Linked DNA regions of Tribolium castaneum. The protein of the gene in region 1 purifies or fractionates together with the protein of each later gene. This does not show direct contact. Links are inferred from orthologs where the notes say so. Each region holds a gene or a part of one and is shown in the gene's direction. Other genes may lie near its edges.

Region 1 (4,238 bases):
ATAGACAATTTTTACATTTTTATAAAATGAGTGTATTTACCTCATTTTTAAAAAGAAATCGGAAAAAAATTGACAAAAAGATAAATAATAATCTATAAGTAGGTATTCAGGTTGTATGATGATTGAACGTGCTTATAATTATTGTAACATTATCCACTTGCCTATCGTCTGCTAAAACTTCATGCAGACGTTAGTTTGAGTGACTTAGATAAAAGACTTAAGCCTAATTTATCTTGATGACTTAAATGCTTGTTATCTACTTGTTAATAAAACAATGACATCAGTAAATCGTTTTACAATGTGAGTACAATTAAGTACACACATAAATGATATGAATAGGGTACAAAGTTTTAATTTAAGTCACTTGACTTTTTTTATTGATAGCTGGTGTATCTAAATACAAAAAGTAGTTATAAACATTTGGATAGGACAAGTTGTAGTTATTCTAACGTTTGTTTTCTTTGTTTGTTTGTTGTTATTTTGTATTTCGTATTATTTTAAACTTTTAACTAGAAAAAACTTATACATTTACGGATCAATATTGTGGATCAATGATTCTTTTAGACCAGAATTAAATTAAAATTGCAAGGACTAACAATTAAAAAAATTAATGTGTTTTTCAAAATATCTTTGCAAATGTACATACTATAACTTTTTATTTTGAATTTGCCTCATTAATTGTGGCCAAAAGCCAAAAGATAAAAACATCTCCAAAAGTACATAGTTAAATAATAAATAAGCACGAAAAAACATCGGCAAAGATACTATGAGTTAGTTATGATAAATGTTTTTTTTAAATGACTGTTGTAATTTAATCTGATGAATAATTTTACTTATGGTTTCATAAAATTTAAACCTATTGTAAGATTGCTCAAGTTGGTGGCTTATATGTTGCTAAGGCGATAACATCAGTACTTATACGTGCTGATGTTTAAATTTCACAATCCATAAGGCAAACAATATAAGTATGTCAGTGATTTAAGTAACTTAATGTAATAAACAACTTACTTTTATCATTTTATCGGTGACTTTATAGTTCGTTTCTAAGAAAGATGAAATCAAGGTGAGTATTCAGTTTCACATAATGGATTATTTGAAACGATTTGAAGTACTATTCAAATTCATGGTAAAACTTAATTAAATTAGTTAATAAAGTATAAAAGTTTTTTTTTCATAATCTAAACTAAATACATAGAGTTATTCACTTAAGACTTCACGCCTGATTAGGTAAAAAGTGCAGCACACAATGCACTAGGAGTAGCATGGGTGTAATTGATACAACTAAACATAATTATTTTTTGAATAAGAGCTATCTCCTATGAATAAGAGTAAGCGGCGTATAATTTAAAAAGTAAATGATTTTTTTTGCATTCTAAAAACATTTTTTTTAATTAGGCAACCAAATTTACCTCCAACAAATATTTTTTTTCTATGGTTGGCGGCAGTTTCTTTTTCAATTTCATTTCCAAACGCTAAGTTAGGTTATAATTTTCATTTTTACTTCTGCAAAGTATTGAAAATGGAAAATGAAACGAAAGAAAATGCAAATGCACACGACGATTCAATACTTAAAAAAGGTCGCCATCGAAAAAAGCAACTCTACAATTCCATTTTGCAGCAAATGGAATTTTATTTTAGCGACTCTAACCTCACCAAAGATAGATTTCTATCTCAATTAATAAAGGAGAATCCTTGTAAGTGACTATATGATTATTTTATGAGTAGTTGTAGGTAAATACCAAGCACTTTTTTCAGTTGTCGACCTGAACGTATTTTTGAAATTTAACAAAATTACTAAACTCACAACCAGCATAGATGATATCCAAAAAGCTGTACAAAAGTCGCAGTTAATCGAATTATCAGAAGATCGTAGTAGAATTCGTCGTACAAAACCGGTTAAAGAAAAGGCTAACGTTGATGATTGTACGATTTATGTAGAACGCCTAAAATCCGATGCAACTCATGAATGGTTGAACTCTGTTTTTTCTGAATTTGGAAATGTGGTCTACGTTTCTATACCAAAATACAAAAACAATAGTGCCATAAAGGGTTTTGCTTTTGTCGAATTCGAGAAAGAAAAGGAAGCGCAAAATGCTTTAAATTACTTTGAAAGCATTGGCTGCAAAATGCCGTCAAATACAGAACCAGAAACTCTTTGTAGTATTAAAACATTTGAAGAAAGTAATGAACAATCTGAGGCTTCCTCTAAAAATTCTACACTGAAGCCAAAATCTGGAGAAGACGAAAAGGCAACAAAAAAGCGAAAACTTGAAGACAATAGTGAGAATAGCGAAAAACTAGATAGTGAACACTGTGAGAGTAAAGCGGAGGAAAAAATAAGAAAACGAAAACTTGAAGAAAGTGAATCCGGCGAAAGTGAAGAAAAAGGGAAAAAAATGAAAGTCGATGATAGTAAGCACACTGAAGAAAATGATGAACACAGTGAAAGTGACGAAAAAGAAAAAAATTCAAAACATGATACTGGAGACGTTTCTGAGTCGGACGATGCCGAAAATAAGAAAAAGAAGAAATTGAAAAAAGAACACAAAAAGAAAAATTACATAAAAGAATTGGGCCTCCAAGTGTTATCAAAGTAAGTGAAGCAGCTAGAATTATCTTTAATCATTGATAAATAATTGTTTTTTAGAAAAGAGTGGAAAAAGATGCGAAATCGGTATCTAGATTTACAAAAGAAGAAAATGAAAGAGTTTAAAAAACACCTTCTAAAAGCCAAGTTTAATCAACCAAATTATGAACAAAAGTCGAAAACTCCCACTGCTAAGACTGAACTCAACAAAGAGGATTTTACCAAGGGACTTATTGTAAAAATAAAGCTAACCGAAGCTACCCTGGATATAAAGAAACTTAAGGTAAATTTTCTAAACTAAATATCTTGGCCAATTTATTTGCGATAAATCGTTTTTCAGAATGAAATTAAAACTTCTTCAGCTGATATATTGTACGTAGATATTCCAAACCCTGGCAGTGAGAACATTTATGTAAGATTTAACACCACGGAGGGCGCTAAAAATTTTTGCTCCCAAGAATCTTTTGGCAAAAAAGAGGTATTAACAGGACAGGAAGAATCTTCATATTGGGAAAAAATTAAAACAGATCGTGAGGATAAACTAAACAAAGCAAAAAAGAAACAACGTGGTAGAGACAAACTGTTAAAGAAAGCAAAACATACAAAATTTGATGATTAAGGTTTTGTTTTCAGTTTAAATTTTTTTTAAATATTCTTTATTTATTAACTTTGTCAAACAGTGGCACCATCCATTTCGTGTTGTTTGCTGACATATTCACACAAAAATTTGAAATAACCTGTAGTTCTTATTTTTCATAGATCTATTTTCGTAATAAAAATTTCATACACTTAATGGAACAATTGCCAACCACAAAAAACATTGGTCACAATTTCAAGTCTACCACCTCTTGCCGCCGCCGCCCCCTCCTCGGCCGCCGCCAAATCCACCCCCACGACCACCTCTAAAACCGCCGCCGCCCCCACGACCCCCACGTCCACCGAAATTGCCGCCTCCTCTTCCTCCAAACCCGCCGCGATTGCCGCCCCCTCTGCCACCACCGCGGCCTCCGCCACCCCCACGACCTCCCCCTCGACCGCCTCGTTTCTGGACTGAGCCTGGGGGCTTCGGTAGGAATCTTTGAAGTGGTAACAACTTCGCAGGATCAATAAACAACTGCAAAACATTATTTTAGATGTGTGAATGGTAAGTGAATTTTTTTATACCTTTTGATTCTTTTTAAAACTGCTAGCTTTTATGTCGTCTCCGAGACGTATCGAAACGTAATAATCTCTGAGATTTCCAAAAATTTCATCAATTTTTCCGATTTGTTCCTTATTTTCGAGGTAAATCGGCGCATTGAAAAATGGAACGTCTTCTATTTCTACTTTAGCAACTAAATCATCTTGTACGGTGTAATCGAAGTAGCCCAAAGGAATCACTCTCTCAGGAGGGCCTTGATCATAGTTTCGCCCGCCGCCCCCGCGACCACCAAAACTATTTCTCCCGCCGCCTCCACCAAAATTTCGAGCGCCGCCGCCCCCACGACCACGACCTCCAAAGCCGCCACCACCGCCGCCTCGGCCACGAAAAGACATTTTGTTTCACTCCTCAAATAATTAGAAACGTAAAAGAGCGTCCCTTTGTAAACACGTGGTTTACACTAAATTTTCAGTGCGGCAACATAACCTCTCCTGCAAACGTAACCTCCAA
Region 2 (4,041 bases), on another chromosome or scaffold:
AGCACCGAGGTGAGGTATCTGGAGCACGTGCAGGCGGTGCTAACGGTGAATGCGAGTCGGAGGGGCGACCTGGAGCTCTTCCTCACGTCGCCGATGGGCACCAGGTCTATGATTCTCAGTCGAAGGCAAAACGACGATGATACGAGAGATGGGTTTACGAAGTGGCCTTTCATGACCACGCATACGTGGGGGGAGTACCCGCAAGGGACGTGGGTGTTGGAGGTGGGTGGTTTTTATTAATTTTTTACATTTATTTTTGAAATGTTTGAACTTGATTACGTGGAAATTGGGGTTGTAGGACACAGGATAAATTAAATTAAATTCGTTACGACGTTTCGATACTTTATTGAATATCTTCAGTCAAATTTATTATTATTATTTTTGTTTCAGGCCAGCTTCAATTCGCAGATGCCGCAAACGGGCTTTGTCAAGGAGTGGACTTTGATGCTGCACGGCACAAAGGAGCCCCCTTATACGGAATTGGCGGTTTTGGACCCACATTCCAAGCTTGCTATAGTGAAGAAGGCGCATGAAAATCGAATGAAGATGTAATTGGTCTCCAGTTTTGGTTTATTTATTTGTTAAAGATTTGATAAAGATTCATATATTTTTAAGTAGAGAGTAGCGATATACTGAAATATTTAAATAAATCCATCAATCTCTAACTGTACTGTAATAAAAGCATGTGATTATATAAGAAGTATAAAATATCAAGTAATTATTGGATTTTATTTTTACAAATTGTTGGACAAGAGCTTATATTTTGTATAGCGTTCATTATTCAAATATATATTAACTGAAAGAGATTATTTATTACAGTGCAAGCGATGAATCTCATGCAATTGTACAAAATTGTAAATTGTTTACAATATAAACTTTATTTCCGATTGTGATTTTGTTTGCTTCTGCTGGCCGACAACTGTAAATAAAACTAGACATTTAACCAATTTTTATTGCTTGTTTTATTTATTTAAGATTGCTTCATAGTTTTACAAATTCAAATCTTCAATTCAAACAGCTCGTATCTTTTTTGAGGCGCATGTGCACACCCAACCAGAAGCATGGCATAGATGGTCTCAAATTTATTCGGAGCAAAGACCAATAAATAAAACTACATTTTTACTAAAAAACTTTTATTCAATTTAATCAACTCACACCACGTTTAAATTAGAGATTTTATGGTCGTAAAGCGCAACCAGCAATACACATCCAGAAAAACAGTTTTACAGTATTTTTGCTAATAAATTTCAACATTGAAACCAGTTTCGGTTTTTCTGAACAAACAAAACTGTTAAATTGTTGTTAATTAGAAGTGTATTCCATTGGTATCGTTTCAAATTAATTTAGTAACTTTGCTGCTCAAAATTAGACTGGTAAATCTTCTGTCACTGTTTGCCAACATCAACATAACCCAACTTTCCTATTTGTCAAAACGTACTTTTTACGATGGAAATAAACGACGATTCCAACGAGCAAATGTCGGTCAACTCGGACTCGGACTCCGACTCCGGGGACGACCAAGAGGAGCAAGTAAGGGCCTCCACAATCCTCCAAAATTTTTCTAACTCTAAGAGTGTCTCAGGCCCTCCTCACTCGTGCTGAAGACCTCGAACGCCAAATCTCCGACAACAAGTACCTCTACAATGCCCACGAAGAGCTCGTCAACTTGTACCGAAAACTGGGGGACTTGAAGTCGATGCGTCTGGCGTACGAACGCTTCCAAGAGTACTTCCCCCTAACCCCCGAGATCTGGCTCGCGTGGATCAACGACGAGAAAAAGTTAGCGAGCTCCGAGAGCGAGATTAAGAATATTTTCGGGCTTTTTGATAAAGCCGTGGAGGATTATTTGTGTAAGTTGGTCAGGTAGCCTGAAATTAGATTGGCAAGCCTGACACGTTTTTTCAGCTGTGAATTTGTGGGTGGAGTACGCGCAGTACTCGATTGGGGTTAGCACCCTTGACACGACACGTGTGATAATCGAGAGGGGTTTAACCGCCGCTGGGTTACACGTGGCCGATGGGAGCCTCCTGTGGGACACTCTCCGGGAGCTGGAATTCGCCCATTTGTCCCTGACGGAGGCAGGGAGCGAGCCATGGAAAACCCAAGTGGAAAAAATCGTGGAGGTTTTCCGGCGCCAACTCTCAGTGCCGCTCCTTGACATGGAAAACACTTACAAGGAGTGGAAAGAGTGGCTAACGCAGGTGCAAGACCACAAAATCAATGCTGAACCGGTGGAGTGGGGCTATAACAAGGCTTTGAAAACCTTAGAGACCTACAAGCCGTTCGAAGAAAAACTACAAGTAACAACGGACGAATCGCAACTATTACGAGTTTATCGCGACTACGTCAAAGTCCTAACGGACCCCTCGACAATTTTGTGTCTTTATGAACGCGCAACGGCCCAGATGTGTCTCAACCCGGAGATTTGGCTCGATTATTGTCTCTACGGCCTGAAACTGGGAGCCCCAGCTGAAAAAATCACAACTAAGGCTTTGAGAAATTGCCCCTGGAGTCAAGAATTGTGGATTATGCGCCTACAAGTCCTTGAAAGTCTCCAGAAGGATAATAGCGAAGTTGTCGCTTGTTTCGAGCAGGCTGTGTCAAATTTAGGCGCCCAATCAAGCGAGCTGTGGCTCGCCTACTTAGAATACGTCTCACGGACGTGCCAAGACCAAGCCAAAGTTTTCAAATCTTTTGACCAAGCCTTAGAACAACTAAAATATAACGACGAAGGCGCCCTCAAAATCACAAAGTGGTATTCGAGAATTTTGGCCAAAAATAACAACATGCAAGGGGCGCGAAACCTCTGGAAAAACCTACTCAAAAGCCCGAACCACAAAATCCTGGCCAACACTTGGCTGGAGTACGCGCGGCTTGAACGCCAGTTCGGGGAACCCCCGCAAGTCCGCGCCATTTTCCAGAAAGCCCTAACCAATTGCACCGACTGGCCCCTGTTTATCGCCGACGAATGGCGTGAGTTCGAACGCGAGTTCGGTAAACTACCCGACGTTCTAAAATGCCTCGAAAAACGCAAAGAAATCGAACCGAAACTAAAAACGATTGAGCCGCCGAAAGCCACCGGAACCAAACGAAAACACCCGAGCGAAGCCGAACCCCCGCCTAAGAAACACAAAAAGCAGGCGGTGGTCAAAGACCCGACTCGCACAATTTTCGTCAGTAATCTACACACTAGTGTGAATGAAAAACGACTGAGGAAATTCTTCCCCAATTGCGAAAATGTCGAAATTGTGGTCGATAAGCGGGGGAAGTCCCGGTGTTATGGGTACGTGCAGTTCGCCCTTGAGGAGAGTGTCATGGCGGCGCTGGCACGTGACCGGGAGCTGCTTGACGGCCGCCCTATTTTTATTTCCAATTGTAAGCCGAATCGTGAGGAGCGGAAAGCCGGCTTTAAGTACTCGAATGAACCCGAGACCAATAAACTTTTCGTTAAGGGACTCCCCTATGACAAGTCGCAGGAGGAAATTGAGGCGATTTTTCGGCCTTTTGGGGCGAAAACCGTGCGTTTGGTGTGTCGGCGAGATGGTAAGCCAAAAGGACTCGCGTATGTTGAGTTTGAGGACGATGCAAGTGCTAAGAAAGCCATGGAAAAGACCGATGGGATGACAGTCGGGGACTTTACCATCAGTGTGGCAATTAGCGCGCCCCCTGTCAAGAAACCAACAACAGTTGCAAAAAGTACACCAACACGGCATGCACGCAGCCGATTACAAGTCCCGATGTTACCGAGGTCCTTGCAAGTCAAGAGTGCGACGAATGGTGATGTCAAACCGAAAACCAATGATGATTTCCGATTGTTACTTCAGAAATAAAAGCGATTCAAACATATTTATTCAACAACTCTCTACCTCTAGATACAAATGAGGTAACCGCCCTCAATATGCTGGCAGTGGTGGGTGATTTCGCACATGTTTCTCCTGTTTGAGTGGCTGAAAATTATCTAAAAAATATATACGATACACAAAATATTGCTTCGTTCTCTCTTATTTACAATACGTGATTTTGTACTTGTGACGTTTGAGC
Region 3 (3,935 bases), on another chromosome or scaffold:
GAAAATTTTCATTTGCAGTAGTTCATTTAAAAAATCACAACTCTTGAAACTTTTACAATAAATAAATAATTATATTAGTATTCGATAACCAAAGGTTCAAAGGGTCTTTTCAAATTTTCAGGATTGTCAAATGTCAAATTGCAAGACTACTATGATTTTTTGAAATTGATCAAAAAGTAATTATAACAGTTTTTTCAAATTTTTGAATGGTAATCAAAAGGATATCGATTTTTATGGAGACTTTTATCAATATCTCCTATATCTATCTCTTATACTTTTTAAAATAATCTCAAAAAAAAAAGACCAAAAGCTCATTGTTTTCAATTTTAATCGAGTAAACTTTCGAAAAATACGATAAAGTTGTGCTATTAAATAAAAGTACTGCTTATTTGATAATAAATCAACTAAAAACTAAATAAAAGTTGGACAGTTGTTGACCATTTTGCAAGGTCTACTTGATTAACTATGAAAATTACGAAGTAAAATCCGTGTTTTTTTTTGTAATTATTTCTAAAAATGTAGGAAATGGGTATAGGACGTGTTCATAAAAGTCACCATAAATATTGATGTTCGATTGCTGTTAAGAAAAAAGGATCGTTCCATTTGAAAGACTGAGTTATAGCCATATTTTGCCAAAATCATACTAGCCTTGAATTTTGACAAATGACAATTTTACAAAAATTCAAAAATCCCTAAATCGATTAAAATAATATTTTTTATTTAAAAACGACAAAAAGGGGGCAATTACAAAAAATAGTACAAAGATCTTTTAATTTACTATTAATTAATTGATTACAGGAAACTGGAAATTGTGGAGAAAGCAATCAGTAAAAGGAACGAAAAGAATGGGCGAAGAAGTTCCGATGAGGACAGGTCAAGGAGGGACAAAAAGCACTCACGGCATAACAATGATGACTACAGACGGGACAGGAAGCGAAAATCTGATGATTCCTATTATGAAAATAGCAAAAGAAGACGCTCTTAAGTTTTTGTTGTACATTTCTTAGAATTGTTGTGATTATAGGGATTATCATGATACTTGTAATAATTTAGAAAACGTAATATATTTTTAAACGTATTCCACCGAATTTTATTTATAAATCCCGCCAACTTTAGCGACAGGCTGGCTATTGGTCCATTTTCGCGCAGGCGCTTAATGAGTCGCCATTTTGTAACGCAAGCTTGTCATTGATTTTCCTTGAAAGTGTTTTGAAACGAAATAAGCCAAAGCAACAAGCATTGGTGCTAGAAAATGGAACAGATACCAAGGACTCATGAAGGTACGCTGTTTTTTGCACCCAAAAGCCCGTTTCATGACTTTTTTGCGTCTCTAGACATCGAGGCCCAAATTCGTGAAATCCAGTCTAAAAAGAAGGAAATTCCGGTGGAAGAGGAGCGAAACGAGAAGGGTGTAGGTTTAGGCGAGAGTGGCTATTTTGATAGTGAGATCTACGATGGGGGCGGCGGTAAGGGTAAATACGAGGGTTATGTGACCTCGATCGCCGCCAACGATGAAGCCGATGAAGAGGACGACGATGTGGGTTATAGTCAGAAACGGACCGGACTGGGGGCCCCTGTGGCGCTCCTCAATGATGTCGCTCAGGTGAGATTTGTGTTATTTAAGTTTTGTGGTAGTTAACTGAGTTGTTTAGAGCGACAAGGATTTTGATCCGTTTGCTGACAAGAGGAGGCCCACGATTGCCGATCGAGAGGACGAGTACAGGCAAAAGAGGCGTCGGATGATTATTTCACCCGAACGTGTTGATCCGTTCGCTGACGGTGAGTAGTTGATTTCGTCCAAGTATTTATAGCTCGTTTTTCCACTTGTTTATGTTTTATATGAAATTTGAGATAATGCTGTTGCTGTCGCTTATCTCAAGTTTTGTATGTTATTGGGGTATATGAAAGATAGCGAATGGATGCATGAGTGAGCAAAAATACTCGAGAAAGTAGGCATTAAATAAAAATCAGTACAAAGAAACTAATTTGTTCTGTATTGGATTCCAACATTTAGGGGTGTCTTCCTAGAGAAGTAATCGCCGCGATTTTAATGGATCACTTCCGTAAAATGTAACGTTGGTAAACGAAAATCGAACAAGAGTGAAAGAGTGTATGCAATGTATAGAAAATTATTAATTACCCCAGCCTATTTCTAGGTTCGATTTGACCAGTTGTTTTGCGAGAAACTGCCTGATTTGTGATGGAGCACAATCACACGTACGTATCAAGATTTGTTCGCCAAATTCACTCCCTTTCAATCCCCAATATTCGAAAAATAATCAGTTTGAGTGAATTGTGGTGCAACCAAATCTTTCAATCATTCAATAAAGAACAGATACTAAATAGAAAAGTCTGACCATTTTTTGCCAACAAGTGCTTCCGTTTACTAATTGGCGTTTTTCAACGCTGTTATGTTTACAGGTGGCAAAACACCAGACATCAATGCCCGCGGTTACACCCAGATTATGAAAGAGCAGATGCTCAAAGGAGAAGAAAACGAGGTCAGTATCAAAAATTTATCACCTAGCCAATTTTTTTTCGTAATTATGTCCGGCAATGGAGTCCTTTGTTAACTCAAAGTTGATTTCTTTGACCACTTGTAATTTAATTTCAGTTGAGGAAAAAAATTCTGGAAAAATCCAAAGACGGTTCACTCAAATCAACAAACGGTGAGGTAAAGAGCGCACCTAAGAAACGGGGGCGCTGGGACCAAACCGTAGACGAAGTCGTCGTCCCCAGCAAAAAGAAAACTCTCTCCGTAACGACCAACAGTGCAGCTGCTACCCCCATCTGGGATGCTGACGTAACAATCCCAATTTTTTAAAACCAATTATTAATAAAAAAATTACAGAAAACTCCAGCCGACCACCGCTGGGACGAAACCCCCGGCCACAAAGGCAGTGAAACGCCGGGCGCCACCCCCGGCCAATCCACCCGTATCTGGGACGCGACCCCCGGGGCTGCAACTCCAGGTCGCGAAACGCCCGCTCATGACAAGAGTGCCAGTCGTCGAAACCGCTGGGATGAAACACCCAAAACCGAGCGTGAAACTCCGGGACATTCGAGCGGCTGGGCTGAAACCCCGCGCACCGACCGAACCGGAGCCGACTTGATTCACGAAACACCGACTCCGGGAGCGTCCAAACGCCGCTCCCGTTGGGATGAAACTCCCTCTGTTCAGACACCGTCGGCGCACATGACTCCGGGTGCTATGACGCCGCAAACGCCGCACGGAACGCCAAGCCATGCCACTCCGATGCTGACTCCGGGCGGGTCAACTCCGGTCGGAGTCAAGGCGATGGCCATGGCGACGCCCACTCCGGGACACTTGGCGTCCATGACTCCGGAACAACTCCAGGCCTATCGATGGGAGCGGGAGATTGACGAGAGGAATAGGCCGTATTCGGATGAGGAATTGGATGCGATGTTTCCGCCGGGGTACAAGATTTTGGCACCTCCGGCTGGGTATATACCCATCAGGACGCCAGCAAGGAAATTGACAGCCACGCCCACACCCATGGTTAATACTCCCCAGGGATTTTTCATCCAACAGGAAGATAAGACAGCCAAATATCTGGATAATCAACCAAAAGGGCAGAATTTGCCGTTCATGAAACCAGAAGATGCGCAATATTTTGATAAATTATTGGTCGATGTTGATGAAGAAGCTTTGAGTCCTGAGGAACAGAAAGAACGGAAAATAATGAAACTACTCCTAAAGATCAAAAACGGGACCCCTCCCATGCGAAAAGCCGCCTTGAGGCAAATCACAGACAAGGCTCGAGAATTCGGTGCAGGGCCCCTTTTTAACCAAATTTTGCCCCTTTTAATGAGTCCAACTCTGGAGGACCAAGAACGTCACTTGTTAGTCAAAGTCATAGACCGAATTTTGTACAAATTGGACGATTTAGTCCGTCCCTACGTCCACAAAATAT
Region 4 (2,664 bases), on another chromosome or scaffold:
GTAGAAAAAATCGAATGTCTACAATGATTGTCTGGAAAGTTTTGTTTTATTACTGCAACTTAAATTATTTTGCATGATTATGTTCTCAACCCCCAACAATCTCCCTTGCTGCGCCACTGAACTATATTAAGGAGGTCTGAAGTGGAACTGAACGCAAAATTTGAAATTGAATTTTTATGAAAAGTATTGCACAAAATAGTTTCATTACAACTGGGTGTTGTTCTAACGTTGAATCATTCCCGAGTTTAAAACGGTTAGAAACGTGATTTGTTTATTTTTCTATAAAAAAATTAAGTTCAAATAATAATAATAATTTATGAAAAAAAAAACATGGCTTAAAATTAATTTTTTTAAAGTAGAAGTTATTTTTAGAACATAATCTTTTACCAAAAAAATCGCCATAGGAGGAAGCCATTTGAAAAAAAAATTAATAACACGTAGACTAAAAGAAATTTCAAAAAATTTTATTCTTAAAAAATTATCACATTTTTAAAGTAGTCGATGACTTAATAATTAGTTTTTTCGTAAGGTACATAGTTTAAGCATAAAATGCTTGGTTCCATACTTTTGCCCAACGTTGTATATGAATTTGAAAAAAAAACTTCTATGTCATTAAAAAATAAAATGAAAAAGCCCATTTTTTGGTCATTTTTTTTTTATTAAAAAATGGTACATAATTTTTTGATAAATTTTATTAGGAGTGTTGTACATGACTTATTTATGGTACTGTATTTTTTCAAGCCATTTCAACTTTAACTTTTTCCATAAAGCATTAAAATTATTAAGCTGTTTAACCCGTTAAAACTTGGTCACAAATATTTAAAGCGAAATAAGAACAAATCTGTGAGGTAATGATTTAACCTAGGAACAACAGCCAATTGTAAAAAAACGATTTTATTTATTATTTTTCTTGAAAAAATTAAATCAAAAAGTTTCAGATTTGTGCTATAATAACCCAACTTTTCATGACACTTTTTCCAGGTTTGTGTGCGACAACTTGAAGATGTGTCAACACTCGCCCAGTGTGCAAATGCACGACGTGCCAGGAGACGCAATCCCTGAAGAAGACAAAGTCAAGGAAGAAGAAGACCCTGATGTTAGAATTAGTCAAGAGTTGGAAGATAAGATGGTCGAGGCGAAAAATGAATTTTACGACGGAGATAAAGATAATGATAAGGAAGATATGGAGACATGACCTGTATTTAAGTGAATAATTTAATGAATAAGATTTTTATTTAAATTTGGCGCGTCATTACGATCGTTACCGACTAATCCCGACCTTTAATTTTCCTTTAAATTAAATAAAAAACAATGAGCGGTGGTCTAGTTCCTAGCAAAAGCACAGTTTACGTCTCGAATATCCCCTACGAGCTTAAAAACAACGACTTGCACAAGCTATTCGAAAAGTACGGCAAAATCGTCAAGTGAGTAAAAGTGAGGTTAGGTTGGTTTGTTTATTGCACCCCTTTTTTATCAGAGTCACAGTTTTGAAGGATAAAAACACACGGAAAAGTAAAGGAGTTGCGTTTATCCTATTTTTGAAAATTGAAGACGCTTTAAAATGCGTCGAAGAAACGAACTTGAGAGAGGTAAGGCGGTTTTGAATCTTCGTTACGGCTGACTTTTTTGCTAGATGTTTGGGCGAACGGTTAAGGCAAGCATCGCAAAAGACAACGGCCGGACGACGGAATTTATCAGACGTAAAGACTACCCCGACAAGAGCAAGTGTTTCGAATGTGGTGAAAGTGGACACTTGAGTTACAAATGTGCGAAAAATATCCTTGGGGAAAGGGACCCGCCCCCCAAAAAAGTCAGGAAACGCAAAAAGAAAGTGGCAACTGAGCTTACAGAGGTATTCACATGAAAAAAATGAAACAACAAATTGAGATTTTTTTAATTTATCAGGAACAGAAGGAATTTTTTAATGATTCGGAGTCCGACAATGAGCAAATTAAAGACGACGATGAAACTTTAAGTGCGGCGATTGCCTCCGAACTGGAAAAACAAGAACTTGAGGAATATCGCTACAAAGTCGCGACGGGTAATTATGACGATGAGACGGCCACTGAACCACCGAGGAAATTAATTAAGAAAAGCGCCTATTTCAGTGACGAGGAAGAAAGTGATTAATTTATTTATTTATAATAAAATGTTTTGAAAACTAGGGAATTTTTTCTCGCTTTGGTAACTTTGCGTGCGCAGCGTTGGACCCTTTCCGTCAAGTGACATTTCCCGAACGTGTCAAAAAATACGGCACGTTTCCCATCCGTTAATTTCTGACCAATCCGTAAGTATTTTTGCAAAAACAGCCCCCGAGACAACGCCCCCCGCACCACCAGACACAATTTAAGTGATAATTCCAACCCCTGGTGTTTATTTTGTTATAGGGCAAAAATGGCGATTCGTCCCGTTTACAGGCCTGAAATTGTTAAAAAACGAACGAAAAAGTTCATCAGGCACCAGTCTGACCGTTATGGCAAACTCAAAGTAAGTAACGGCGTGAAATAGGCGAATTGTGAGCGCCCTAACCTCAAATTTCAGCGCAACTGGCGCAAACCCAAAGGTATCGACAACAGGGTTCGTAGGCGCTTCAAGGGCCAGTTTTTGATGCCCAACATTGGCTACGGCTCCAATGCCAAAACGAAGCACATGCTACCCACAGGC
Region 5 (2,235 bases), on another chromosome or scaffold:
GCATGTTTTGTCTGTTTTTTGCCTTTACAAAACTTCGTATATTTTTTAGGAAGCCTAAAAACTTGAGGAAAATCATTCTTTCGACCAATATTGCCGAGACTTCGGTCACAATTGACGACTGTGTCTTCGTGATCGATTCGGGTCGAATGCGTGAGAAGCACTTCGACCCGAACCGAAACATGGAGAGTCTGGAGACCGTGTGGGTGACCCGCGCCAATGCCCTGCAACGCAAGGGTCGAGCAGGCCGTGTGATGGCCGGCGTTTGTTTCCACCTCTACACCAGTAACCGTTTCCGCCACCAGATGCTCCCCCAACCCATCCCAGAAATCCACAGAATTCCCCTCGAACAACTCATCCTCAACATCAAAATTTTGCAAAACTTCGAAGATCGTGACGTTTGTGACGTCATCGACGGTCTAATCGAGCCGCCTTTGAAAGAGCACGTGGAGACGGCGATTGTTCGTCTCCAAGATGTTGGAGCCTTAGACACCGAAAAACAATTGACGCCGCTTGGCCACCACTTAGCCGCCTTGCCTGTGGATGTGAGAATTGGAAAATTGTTGCTCTATGGGGCAATTTTCTCGTGTGTGGACTCGGCGTTAACTATGGCGGCGTGTCTGAGTAATAAAAGCCCGTTCGTGACGCCGTTCCGTAAAAGAGACGAGGCAAATGAGAAGAAGAAAAAATTTGCCGTGGGGTATAGTGACCACATTACTGTCCTGATGGCCTACAAGAAGTGGCAAAGTGTGTACAAGAAGAGTAGTCTAGCTGGGCGGAATTTTGCAAACGAGAATTTCCTCTCACAAAAGACTCTTGTAACAATCGCCGATATCAAGCACCAGTTTTTGGAGTATTTGGTCGATATCGGGTTCATTGCTGCGAATTTGGACGGGAAAAGGCGTTCAGGGGACGATGATGTGTTAGCAATTACCGGAAACGAGGTATAACATCGAAGGGCGTGCCTGGCTGGGCCACGCCCTCGTGATGTTCTCGCTTAATTCTTTTGTAGTTTAACAGGAACGGCGAAAATTTCAATGTTTTAGCGGCAATTTTATGTGCCGCTCTCTACCCCAACGTGATAAAAGTCCTAACTCCGCCCAAATCGTACGTAAAGACCGCCGGAGGGGCCATTCCCAAAGACAACGAAGCGAAAGATTTCCAATTCCAGACCGTTAAAGAAACCGTTTTTCTCCACCCCTCATCGGTGAATTTCTCCGCGAAGAATTTCCCAAGTCCTTATCTTGTTTATCAGGAAAAGGTTAAAACCAGTAAAGTGTATTTCAGGGATTGTACCGTGATTCCTGTCATCTCCCTTGTGCTCTTCTCGGGTTTTGATCTTGATATCAGTGTAAATAATGGCTGTACGTTTATTTCATTAGAGCGCGGATGGATTATGTTCCAAGTGGAGGAACACAAGGTTGGTCGGTTTTTTAGTTGTTTGGGTTGGCAGTAATGTGGTTTACAGATCGCAGAAATGATTAAGATGTTGCGAAGCGAGTTGTTCATGCTGCTGGAAGAGAAAATCAAAGATCCGTTACTAAATATCTGGCATCATGATAAAGGAGAAAGGATTATTACGACGATTTTGAACTTAATCAACTTGAAATAGGATCGGAGTTTTGTTTCACAAATAGAGATTTTATTTTGTAAAGCGTTCTTTTTTATTTGATTTGTAAGTGGATTATGCCTGTTTGTTATTGTTGTGTCGAAGAGGAAATAAAATTCTATTTTGTTATACGCATTTTTATTTCGTAAAAAGTCCCACAAAAACAATAGAACTAATTAAAGCAAGTCGTATCGTTCATAAAATGAACGTACCTACAGTCCGTAAAGTGTACAAGTGTACACAGTATTTAAAATTAATTTTGAGAAATTGCAATTTCCTGAAAAAGGAAATATGGTTTTCGCCTTCATGTTAAAAATGGTGGATGCGCCGGGCTATCGACACTCCATTTTACTCCAACAAAAAATGCTATATGAATAATTGAATTATTAGTATCAGTTTCTGTAGACACGCACGATAAAGAAGCTTATCATTGTTGCCTGTCGTTATTTTTTTATTTTGCACTTAAATTTTTTGGAATTGTGTTCGGTTAAATGCGTTTTTATTCCGCAAAAATAACCGCGTGCCCGCTGAAGTGGCCCATAAAGAAACAATAAAGGAAAATCATGAGAGTTTTGAGGAAAAATTTGCCGAGTTATGAAAGTATCCACCTTTATCTTTACTTTTATGCG
Region 6 (4,043 bases), about 2.4 Mb from region 1:
TCTAATGTGTTCGAAAATATGTTCGATAAATACGACGAACTAGGTTGAACAGAGTTAAAGTTTCCACATTGCAAAAAATCGATTTCTCTCTTAACATCCCTAAAATTAAATATAAAAAAATGTGTATTTAAGCACTTATAAAGTTCAAAATCATTTTTTATACAGAATAACCCATTAAAACAAGCCACACGAGTTTTTATTTTTTTTAAGATTTTCCTAATAGAAACATAGGTTGATTTAATATATGAATTATGTTGGTGTTAAAATTTATTTTGCGATTAACCCGTGAATCAAAGCATCTGATTGAAATTACTCTTAAACAGAGTGTCTCTACAACGCTTTGAACCCGAAATTCGCCAATTTTGAGACATTCTGTAGGTATAATAACTTGTTACATTGGTGAGTTACGTCTGTGAATTTTACGCAAGATGTTTATCTCAGAACTTTGAAAACATCATTTTTAGACTTACGTATACCTTTTTTACACTCACTGAAACAATTAAGTACTTAATTTATTATATCAGGCACTCTAAAACTAACCCCCATTGCTATGTGGTAGAAATAATGATAATAGTTAAATAAAGTTTGTATGGGACGCTAATGCTCTAATAAACAAAACAATTCCAAAATAAGTGAATTTTAATCTGCTTTTGTCTATGGCTTTTGTTAAAACAGAAGTCACAAATGAAGTTGCGATGTGTGTCTTAAAACTGTATTTCCAAAATTCGCTTTTTTGGGGCTTGTTGTACTCACCCATTATTCTCCTTGTCGAATTTTAAGAAATCTGCGTTCAAGTTTAGCTGATCCATTTCTTATAATTCCAATTTAAAGCAATTAGAAGAGCTTGAAGGAACTTTTGTAACTAATGCAAACAGATTTTTCACAAAAACTACTCACATAGTCAAAAGCACACTTTATCAAGTAATAATAAAAAACAAACAATCATTTCAATCAGAAAATTTAAACGTTTAAATTTTTGAAAAAATTTAAACACAAAAACAGGCTAGTGAATGTATTTTGTTTAAAAAATTGTTAAAAATTGAATGTTGATGGATTTTCATTTGACTAATTATGGACAAACTGTCATAGCTTTCTAGATTCAAGTGAACAATATTCATAAATTTGCGATAATGATTTAAATTCAGCTTAAAACATTATTTTAGTATCAATGCCAAGAAAACCATTTTAAATTTTGAATTGAATGGAAAGTAAGACTCATGCGCACAAAATTCTATTTTTTTTATAAACGACTGCAGCGTCACCTGACGATTAAAACTAGCAAAGGTATTTTTTTGTTTTAAAGCTACGCGGTAAATTTGAATGATTCTCTCAATTTTTACATTAAAATGTGATAAGTGCGAATTTACTTTCAATAATATTCATTGCTAGCTTCAGTAATTAGCGCCTGGAAGGTATGTCAAGATTACAAACCAGTGTCACAATTTTTGAGGTTACGTTCAAGTCAAAAATGTGGTGATTTTAGCGTCAAAACCATGATTGACGAAGAAGCCCAATATGACGCCCTTCTGGGGGGCTCCGAGGAGCTCCCTTCGAACATCTCCTTATCGAAATTCGTGGCTTGCCGCAGCCAAGAAATCCAAATCATGAAAAACTCCCTCCTGACCCAAACCGGCTCAAAACTGGCCTTCCAAACTCTACCGAAACACATGAGACGCCGGGCAATGTCCCACAACGTCAAAAGACTACCACGGCGTCTCCGCCAAATCCATTTAAACCAAATGAAAAAATCCGGAATGCCAACGCAACAGAAGCGCCCCTCTCGCAAATACCGCCGAAAACCGCGAAACCTCCTCGAAGAATACACCAAAAGGGCCAATAAGAAGTACAAATGGTTGCAAACCCACATCTGGCACGCGAAACGGTTCCACATGGTGGAGAAATGGGGCTACAAGTTGCCATACCACGCTTGTGATAAGGCCTTCCGTGCCTGCTACAGGGCAATGACCCAACATTGCCTCTTACAGGACATTTCCTACTACAGTTGTGTGGAAATCCACGGCGATAAAAGCGAAATTATTGAAAAAATTAAACTCCTGTGTAAGCCAGGCGAGGGTTTAAGTATTGGGGCGAAAGCCTTTTCTGAGGGTAACCGCGAGGGTGAAATCTGTCTCTATGATTCGTTCCAAAAAGCCATCGGGAACGTCATGTTCCAGTGGCAACCCTCTATTGACGAAAAATGTAAATTGTGGTTGTGGGTTCATGCCGCTTTTTATTCAACCACGAAAAACACACTAGTTGAGTGTTTTAAAAACTGCCAGATCGAAATAAACGAACTTAGACTTGAGTTGAGCAGATTTAGACTCAGTGGGCCTTTATCTAATCCAGTTCTTCAAGATGCGCTTGCTTTGATCGACATTTATGATATTAAATTAGTACCAGAGTCGCCTCTTAAAAAATACATTGATTGGCCGGAGAATAAAGCAGTGATTATAAATCAGTGCGAGTTTTGGAAAAAACTAGCCTCGGTGGCATCCCTACATGAGGTTTCCCCCCACATCGTGTTACCCTTGATTGTGAAAGACCCCCGATTGAATCTTCCAAAAAAGCGCATAAAAAGTGTTTTAACTTTCGGGAAATTGGAATTTGATCAAATTCCTGTGAACATTTCCGCGAATCCTTTATGGGACAAGACCATCAGAACGTACTCAAATGAAAATAAAGTGTCTGACTCAAAAATTGTTGACTTGCAAAGTGGTTTACTAGTCCCGGGGTCTGATTTAAAAGGGACCATTGGCCACATTCCAATTATCCTGATCCAAAGGCCAGGGAATAAAACCCAGAACGTTGGTTTAGGGAGTGGATGGGATGTCATCCTACCAACGGCTTGGGCCAAACCGTTTTGGATTGCCTTCGTTATGAGGGGAGCAAGGGTTGGGGGTTTGAGGGAATCAGACTCAATGCTTTACGAAATGGGAAAGTCACAGTTGCTTCACCCGGACACGGACGCAGGTTTTGAGGAAGAACTGAGACATTCAAACCAGCACAGGGTTACGTTTTTCCAAAAACCTCCAAATAAACGAATCAATTACAGTAAATTTAAAATCGCAAGTCCTTTGCTTTGCAATTGGAGGCTTTTGCTCAAGGACTGGAACAGTGGCTTTACGGGCGAATTTTCAGTCCTCAGGGACAAAAAACAGCTTCATTCGATTAATGTAAATTAATTGTCTTTGTAAAAAGTGAACTTTAAGTTTTGATTGTTTTAGGCTTTTCTCAATTCTAAGACACACCCGGTGCCACAGTGCCCCCAAAATTGCCTCATTCCTGTTAGACTTGAGTGTGAGAAGCGGGGCTCACTGGCCGAGTATGCCATTATTTGTGTCCCGAAATGTAAGAGTGATTTGAGCGAAGTTTTGTTGGAACCGAATTGCGAGGATGTAAATAAGGAAAAGCGGAAGGAATTGAGACGTGCACATCAAAGTTTGTTGAAAAAATTGCGGAAGAAACGCAAATTAAAGTCGGAGCTTGCGGTAATGTCGGTTTGTTTTAATCGAACTTGTTGATAAGTCTGTTTTAGTCGGATGATCACAGTGAGATTTTACGCAGTTATACGGAGAAAATGAGAGCGCTGTGGCTTCCTGAGCCAACTACCATAAGGCATTCGTGTAGCAGAGAAGTTGTAGGTTTTGTTTCGAAAGGCGGTTTTAGTTTTTCGATTGGGAAAAGCGCAGGGACGGGTTATATAACTAGCGATTGTTTATCGGAGTTGGTTGATTTTAGAAATAAGGTTTTGTTGAGGAATACTAATTCTCGGCAATATAAAACTGCGAATTTAAGCGTCATTGTAGAGTGACTGGCTGAATATAAATTTATTACAGGAAAACGTTTATAATTGCTATTTACAAATACATACCCACATGGGGAGGCTGCAAATGCCGAATTTTTTTGAATAAAAAATAATGCAATTTCTTATTGCTGTATAGGAATTTCCAAAATATTTTATTGGAGGCGTGCAGCCGTTTTTTAAATAATCAATTTACGGAATGGTAATAAGTGTTGTTACACTAAATTGCCGATTTACGCTC
Region 7 (3,699 bases), on another chromosome or scaffold:
ACGTCCTTGCGAAATACCCCTACGAGACTGATCCAGTGGTGGCACAAGGTTGGCGCTTTCTCGACCTAAAAATCCCAACTTTCGCCAGCTATGTGATAGGAAACGGCATCGAATTTTGTATCAATTTCCGCCTGTTTCTCTACATGTTTATCCCGCTTTTGTTGGTCAAAATCGCCTCACGCCAGGATTGGAAAGGCACGTACCAAATGTTGATCCCCCACTGTGTGACCCTGAGCTGGCTCCAGGTGTGCATTGTGAGCTCCGAGGGGGCCACAATGTACGGCCTGTTGCGCGGCAGCTTGGCCTTAGTGGGGGTGGTGCTGTTCCTGCCCCTAGTGGGGCTCACAAGTGTGATACTCCCCGCAGCTGCGCTAGCGAAATGGGTCGTGGCTTCGAATTTTTTTCTCGGGGTTTGTGTCTTCGTGGGGGCCACCGGGTTAGGCCTGGCGGTATGTTGGGTTTGTGCCCAAACGAGGTTCAGCAAAATCACCGCTTTTATTCAAGTCGTTTCGACGATTTTTGCTGTTTTAACCCTCATTAAGTCAAATTACAAAAATGAGGAACACTATTTTGAAAATAAACTACCCGAGTATTTGTCGTGGGACGTTTATCAGCGGTTTTGCCACCAGCCGGTGTGGCAGGAGGAAAACATCGCAATTGCTCAAGTGAAGTGCTCCGAACTGCACAACTCGCACATCAATTGGGACGGTTACATCAACGATATTAAAATTTCGTCGATCTCGAATAAGTTCCAAACGATTATTGATCACTTCCCTGTGACTTTGCGCCATTATCTTTACTGTTTTTACGGGGAAGAGACTCGAAATGATTGTACTGATTTCCCCCCCGCGGTTCGTGAAGAGTGCAGCTCGTTCTACAATGCAATAAAATCGACTAAAACGTGTTCGCTTCAAAAATACAATTCGTACACGTTTGAAATAACAACGAAAGTGCAGTCAGCGATTTGGGGCAAAAGCCCCGAAGTCACTCTTGTAGTTGACGATTATTTTCGAAATTTCACCCTGGGGCTTAAGCCAAATGACCACATTTGGTTCAAAGGCACGTTGTTTAATAACGAGGTTGTGGGGTCCGATGGGATTTTAGGGGGGTTCAAAACCCATGTAAAATTGGACGAAATTGGTTGCCTTGCGTGTAGTAATAATAAACTGACGAATGTTAAAAAAGAGATTGAATCTAGATTTGATATTAAGAATGTTATTGATGGTCTCGTTTTGGGACTCAAGTTTGTCCTCAATGTTATTTTAAGTCCAGTCGTAGTGTTTAAGTGATTTGTTACGTAACTTATTGAGAATTGTATTTATTTATGTTAATAAATGTAAGAGATTATTTAAGTTGTGCGCCAGAATTTAAATTTTCGTCAGCTCCACCACTACACTGCCGTAAAAATTACCAGCGAAATCGCGCAAACACGTGTGATTGTGATGCGTGCTGTTATAGAATTTAATTAATTTTAGCCCAATTTTATGCCTAATTATGGTAAGAATTCAATATTGCATAACTAGAACATTGCTAATTGCTCGTTTTTTGGAACAAGCAAAGTTATAGCAATGTTTGTAAATATAACCTCACTCTAGCGCCGCATGTTTTTCAGTCTAAACTTTATGTGTTATTCGAGCACGCTGCCGGCTATGGGGTTTTCAAAGTGCAGGAATTTGAAGAAATCGGTATGCTGCTGCCCCAGTTGGAGGCAGCCGTGCACGACCTAGCCCGCTTCAATAGCGTAGTCGAACTCGTTGGTTTTTCGCCGTTTAAAACAGCCATTGCGGCTTTAGAAAGCATCAATGCAATCTCGGAGGGTGTTTTACCCGAAGATTTGCTACACTTTTTGGACATCACAGTCCCGAAAAGTAAGAAAAAGAATAAGCTTACGTTGGGGGTGAGTGACCCCAAGTTGGGGGCTGCCATCACCGAAGCGCTTGGGATACAATGTAGCCACGTCGGAGCTGTCCCGGAGGTAATCAGGGGTATCAGGCACCATTTCCATAACCTTGTGAAAGGTTTCACTCAGAAAAGCTCAGCCGTGGCCCAACTGGGGCTCGGGCATGCATATTCACGAGCCAAGGTCAAGTTTAACGTCCACAGAGTTGACAATATGATAATACAATCCATAGCTCTTTTGGACCAACTCGACAAAGACATCAACACTTTCTCGATGAGAATTCGGTACGATTTTGCGAATTGTCCAAATTTTCTTTCTAACAAGTGTATTGCAGCGAATGGTACTCTTACCATTTCCCGGAGTTGGTGAAAATAGTCCCCGAGAACTACACCTACGCCCGTTTGGCAAAATTCATCAAAAACCGCAAAGAACTAAGCGAGGACTCTCTCGAGGGCTTGGAAGAAATCACGATGGATTCAGGCAAAGCCCAGGCGATTTTGGACGCCTCCAAGTCCAGCATGGGCATGGACATAAGCGTTGTTGATCTACTGAACATCGAAATGTTTGCCGGCCGGGTGATAGCTCTAGCCGACTACAGAAACCAACTTTCCGAATATTTGAAGACAAAAATGACCGACGTGGCCCCAAATCTGGCCAAACTAATCGGCGAACAAGTGGGGGCGCGCTTGATCGCCCACGCTGGGTCTCTGACAAACCTTGCCAAGTACCCGGCGTCCACGGTTCAGATCCTCGGGGCTGAAAAAGCCCTTTTCAGGGCTCTTAAAACCAGGGGGAACACCCCGAAGTACGGCTTACTCTTCCACTCCACTTTCATAGGGCGAGCTGGGGCTAAGAACAAGGGGCGCATCTCGCGATATTTGGCGAACAAGTGCTCGATCGCATCGCGAATCGACTGCTTCACTGAACAACCGACGCAGATTTTTGGCGAGAAGTTGAGGCAACAAGTTGAAGACAGGCTCAAGTTTTACGAGACAGGGGACGTCCCCAAGAAGAATATCGAAGTCATGAAGGAGGCGATGGAGGAGTTGGAGCAAGAAACGGCGCACAATAAGTCCGAGAAGAAGAAGAAAAAGAAGAAACATAAGCTGAACGAGACGAGTGAGTCTGTGGGAGAGAATGGCGTGGACCAGACGACCAATGGGAATGCAGATGAGGCGGAGGAGCCGCCCAAAAAGAAGAAGAAGAAAAATAAGCAGGAAGTTGAGTAATTGTTTGTTTGAGAGTCGGGTATTTTTATTCTTGTATAATCTATTATTTTTAAATAGATACTTGATCAAATTGAGGTCGTAATGCTTAAACCTGTTATCCTACCAATAAAACCATGGGTAATATTCACAACAATTTATTTTATATGTTTTTACAATAAACTAAATGAGCGGAATGTTCAAACAGTTACTAACTGTAACATGGATAGTGTTATCGATAATAAGGCACCACGGTATCGCAACCTTCAACGAAAAAGAAAAAACTGCCGATAGGTCGAATTTGTTTTTATTTTATAGAAAATTATTAACAATGCAATATTGCTTTATCTGTTTGCTAACAGAGCCGATTTTGCTGTTCCTACAAATTAGTTGTATAAATAGTTGCGTAATACTAAATAAAATATGAACAAACTTAAATGTACCCAGCACCCTCATGAGCATTGTAATACAACCAAACGGACTATACAAAATATGTGCAAGAAAACCGTTTTTAAAAACTATAAACGCAAGACCAATTGGCTCAATCTCAACGATTAAAGTACAATCTTTGGAATTTCGAATAAAAATTAGGTG

Evidence for each region.
Region 2: the proteins of Larp7 (region 1) and Rnp4F purify together in Homo sapiens (affinity purification with mass spectrometry; 4 studies listed by BioGRID and IntAct, counting the BioPlex papers as one, with this or other methods). This does not show direct contact. The link is inferred for Tribolium castaneum from reciprocal best matches to the Homo sapiens genes LARP7 and SART3.
Region 3: the proteins of Larp7 (region 1) and Sf3b1 purify together in Homo sapiens (affinity purification with mass spectrometry; 4 studies listed by BioGRID and IntAct, with this or other methods). This does not show direct contact. The link is inferred for Tribolium castaneum from reciprocal best matches to the Homo sapiens genes LARP7 and SF3B1.
Region 4: the proteins of Larp7 (region 1) and zinc finger CCHC-type and RNA-binding motif-containing protein 1 purify together in Homo sapiens (affinity purification with mass spectrometry; 3 studies listed by BioGRID and IntAct, counting the BioPlex papers as one, with this or other methods). This does not show direct contact. The link is inferred for Tribolium castaneum from reciprocal best matches to the Homo sapiens genes LARP7 and ZCRB1.
Region 5: the proteins of Larp7 (region 1) and putative ATP-dependent RNA helicase DHX57 purify together in Homo sapiens (affinity purification with mass spectrometry; 3 studies listed by BioGRID and IntAct, with this or other methods). This does not show direct contact. The link is inferred for Tribolium castaneum from reciprocal best matches to the Homo sapiens genes LARP7 and DHX57.
Region 6: the proteins of Larp7 (region 1) and Pop1 purify together in Homo sapiens (affinity purification with mass spectrometry; 3 studies listed by BioGRID and IntAct, with this or other methods). This does not show direct contact. The link is inferred for Tribolium castaneum from reciprocal best matches to the Homo sapiens genes LARP7 and POP1.
Region 7: the proteins of Larp7 (region 1) and Nop56 purify together in Homo sapiens (affinity purification with mass spectrometry; 3 studies listed by BioGRID and IntAct, with this or other methods). This does not show direct contact. The link is inferred for Tribolium castaneum from reciprocal best matches to the Homo sapiens genes LARP7 and NOP56.

What each region holds. Positions count from the first base shown.
Region 1 is NC_087394.1:30,502,011-30,506,248, reverse strand, and holds the start of Larp7 (la-related protein 7), read left to right. Parts: upstream 1-1,438; 5' UTR 1,439-1,519; coding exon 1,520-1,694; intron 1,695-1,755; coding exon 1,756-2,593; intron 2,594-2,647; coding exon 2,648-2,870; intron 2,871-2,927; coding exon 2,928-3,206; 3' UTR 3,207-3,425; coding exon of another isoform or gene 3,426-3,701; 3' UTR 3,702-3,751; coding exon of another isoform or gene 3,752-4,123; 3' UTR 4,124-4,238. Other genes in the region: Gar1 (H/ACA ribonucleoprotein complex subunit 1), read right to left, coding at 3,426-3,701, 3,752-4,123. UniProt on the Homo sapiens protein: RNA-binding protein that specifically binds distinct small nuclear RNA (snRNAs) and regulates their processing and function.
Region 2 is NC_087396.1:21,413,768-21,417,808, forward strand, and holds Rnp4F (squamous cell carcinoma antigen recognized by T-cells 3), read left to right. Parts: upstream 1-1,241; 5' UTR 1,242-1,446; coding exon 1,447-1,530; intron 1,531-1,582; coding exon 1,583-1,850; intron 1,851-1,905; coding exon 1,906-3,830; 3' UTR 3,831-3,846; downstream 3,847-4,041. Other genes in the region: amon (neuroendocrine convertase 2), read left to right, coding at 1-222, 391-552. UniProt on the Homo sapiens protein: U6 snRNP-binding protein that functions as a recycling factor of the splicing machinery. Promotes the initial reassembly of U4 and U6 snRNPs following their ejection from the spliceosome during its maturation.
Region 3 is NC_087395.1:16,040,245-16,044,179, forward strand, and holds the start of Sf3b1 (splicing factor 3B subunit 1), read left to right. Parts: upstream 1-1,135; 5' UTR 1,136-1,252; coding exon 1,253-1,280; intron 1,281-1,334; coding exon 1,335-1,603; intron 1,604-1,652; coding exon 1,653-1,779; intron 1,780-1,784; exon of another isoform or gene 1,785-2,217; intron 2,218-2,421; coding exon 2,422-2,501; intron 2,502-2,614; coding exon 2,615-2,803; intron 2,804-2,851; coding exon 2,852-3,935. Other genes in the region: corepressor interacting with RBPJ 1, read left to right, coding at 799-985. UniProt on the Homo sapiens protein: Component of the 17S U2 SnRNP complex of the spliceosome, a large ribonucleoprotein complex that removes introns from transcribed pre-mRNAs.
Region 4 is NC_087401.1:11,244,715-11,247,378, reverse strand, and holds zinc finger CCHC-type and RNA-binding motif-containing protein 1, read left to right. Parts: upstream 1-1,242; 5' UTR 1,243-1,311; coding exon 1,312-1,424; intron 1,425-1,477; coding exon 1,478-1,589; intron 1,590-1,633; coding exon 1,634-1,852; intron 1,853-1,905; coding exon 1,906-2,130; 3' UTR 2,131-2,164; downstream 2,165-2,664. Other genes in the region: HDAC3 (histone deacetylase 3), read left to right, coding at 982-1,195; RpL32 (large ribosomal subunit protein eL32), read left to right, coding at 2,395-2,487, 2,542-2,664.
Region 5 is NC_087402.1:3,960,466-3,962,700, reverse strand, and holds the end of putative ATP-dependent RNA helicase DHX57, read left to right. Parts: intron 1-49; coding exon 50-941; intron 942-1,009; coding exon 1,010-1,417; intron 1,418-1,465; coding exon 1,466-1,609; 3' UTR 1,610-1,735; downstream 1,736-2,235. UniProt on the Homo sapiens protein: Probable ATP-binding RNA helicase.
Region 6 is NC_087394.1:32,928,348-32,932,390, forward strand, and holds Pop1 (ribonucleases P/MRP protein subunit POP1), read left to right. Parts: upstream 1-1,243; 5' UTR 1,244-1,412; intron 1,413-1,462; exon of another isoform or gene 1,463-1,483; 5' UTR 1,484-1,493; coding exon 1,494-3,173; intron 3,174-3,224; coding exon 3,225-3,488; intron 3,489-3,535; coding exon 3,536-3,811; 3' UTR 3,812-3,841; downstream 3,842-4,043. Other genes in the region: zinc finger protein 774, read right to left, coding at 1-99, 754-809. UniProt on the Homo sapiens protein: Component of ribonuclease P, a ribonucleoprotein complex that generates mature tRNA molecules by cleaving their 5'-ends. Also a component of the MRP ribonuclease complex, which cleaves pre-rRNA sequences.
Region 7 is NC_087395.1:14,127,801-14,131,499, forward strand, and holds Nop56 (nucleolar protein 56), read left to right. Parts: upstream 1-1,362; 5' UTR 1,363-1,494; coding exon 1,495-1,497; intron 1,498-1,612; coding exon 1,613-2,184; intron 2,185-2,234; coding exon 2,235-3,129; 3' UTR 3,130-3,199; downstream 3,200-3,699. Other genes in the region: wfs1 (wolframin), read left to right, coding at 1-1,289. UniProt on the Homo sapiens protein: Involved in the early to middle stages of 60S ribosomal subunit biogenesis. Required for the biogenesis of box C/D snoRNAs such U3, U8 and U14 snoRNAs. Part of the small subunit (SSU) processome, first precursor of the small eukaryotic ribosomal subunit.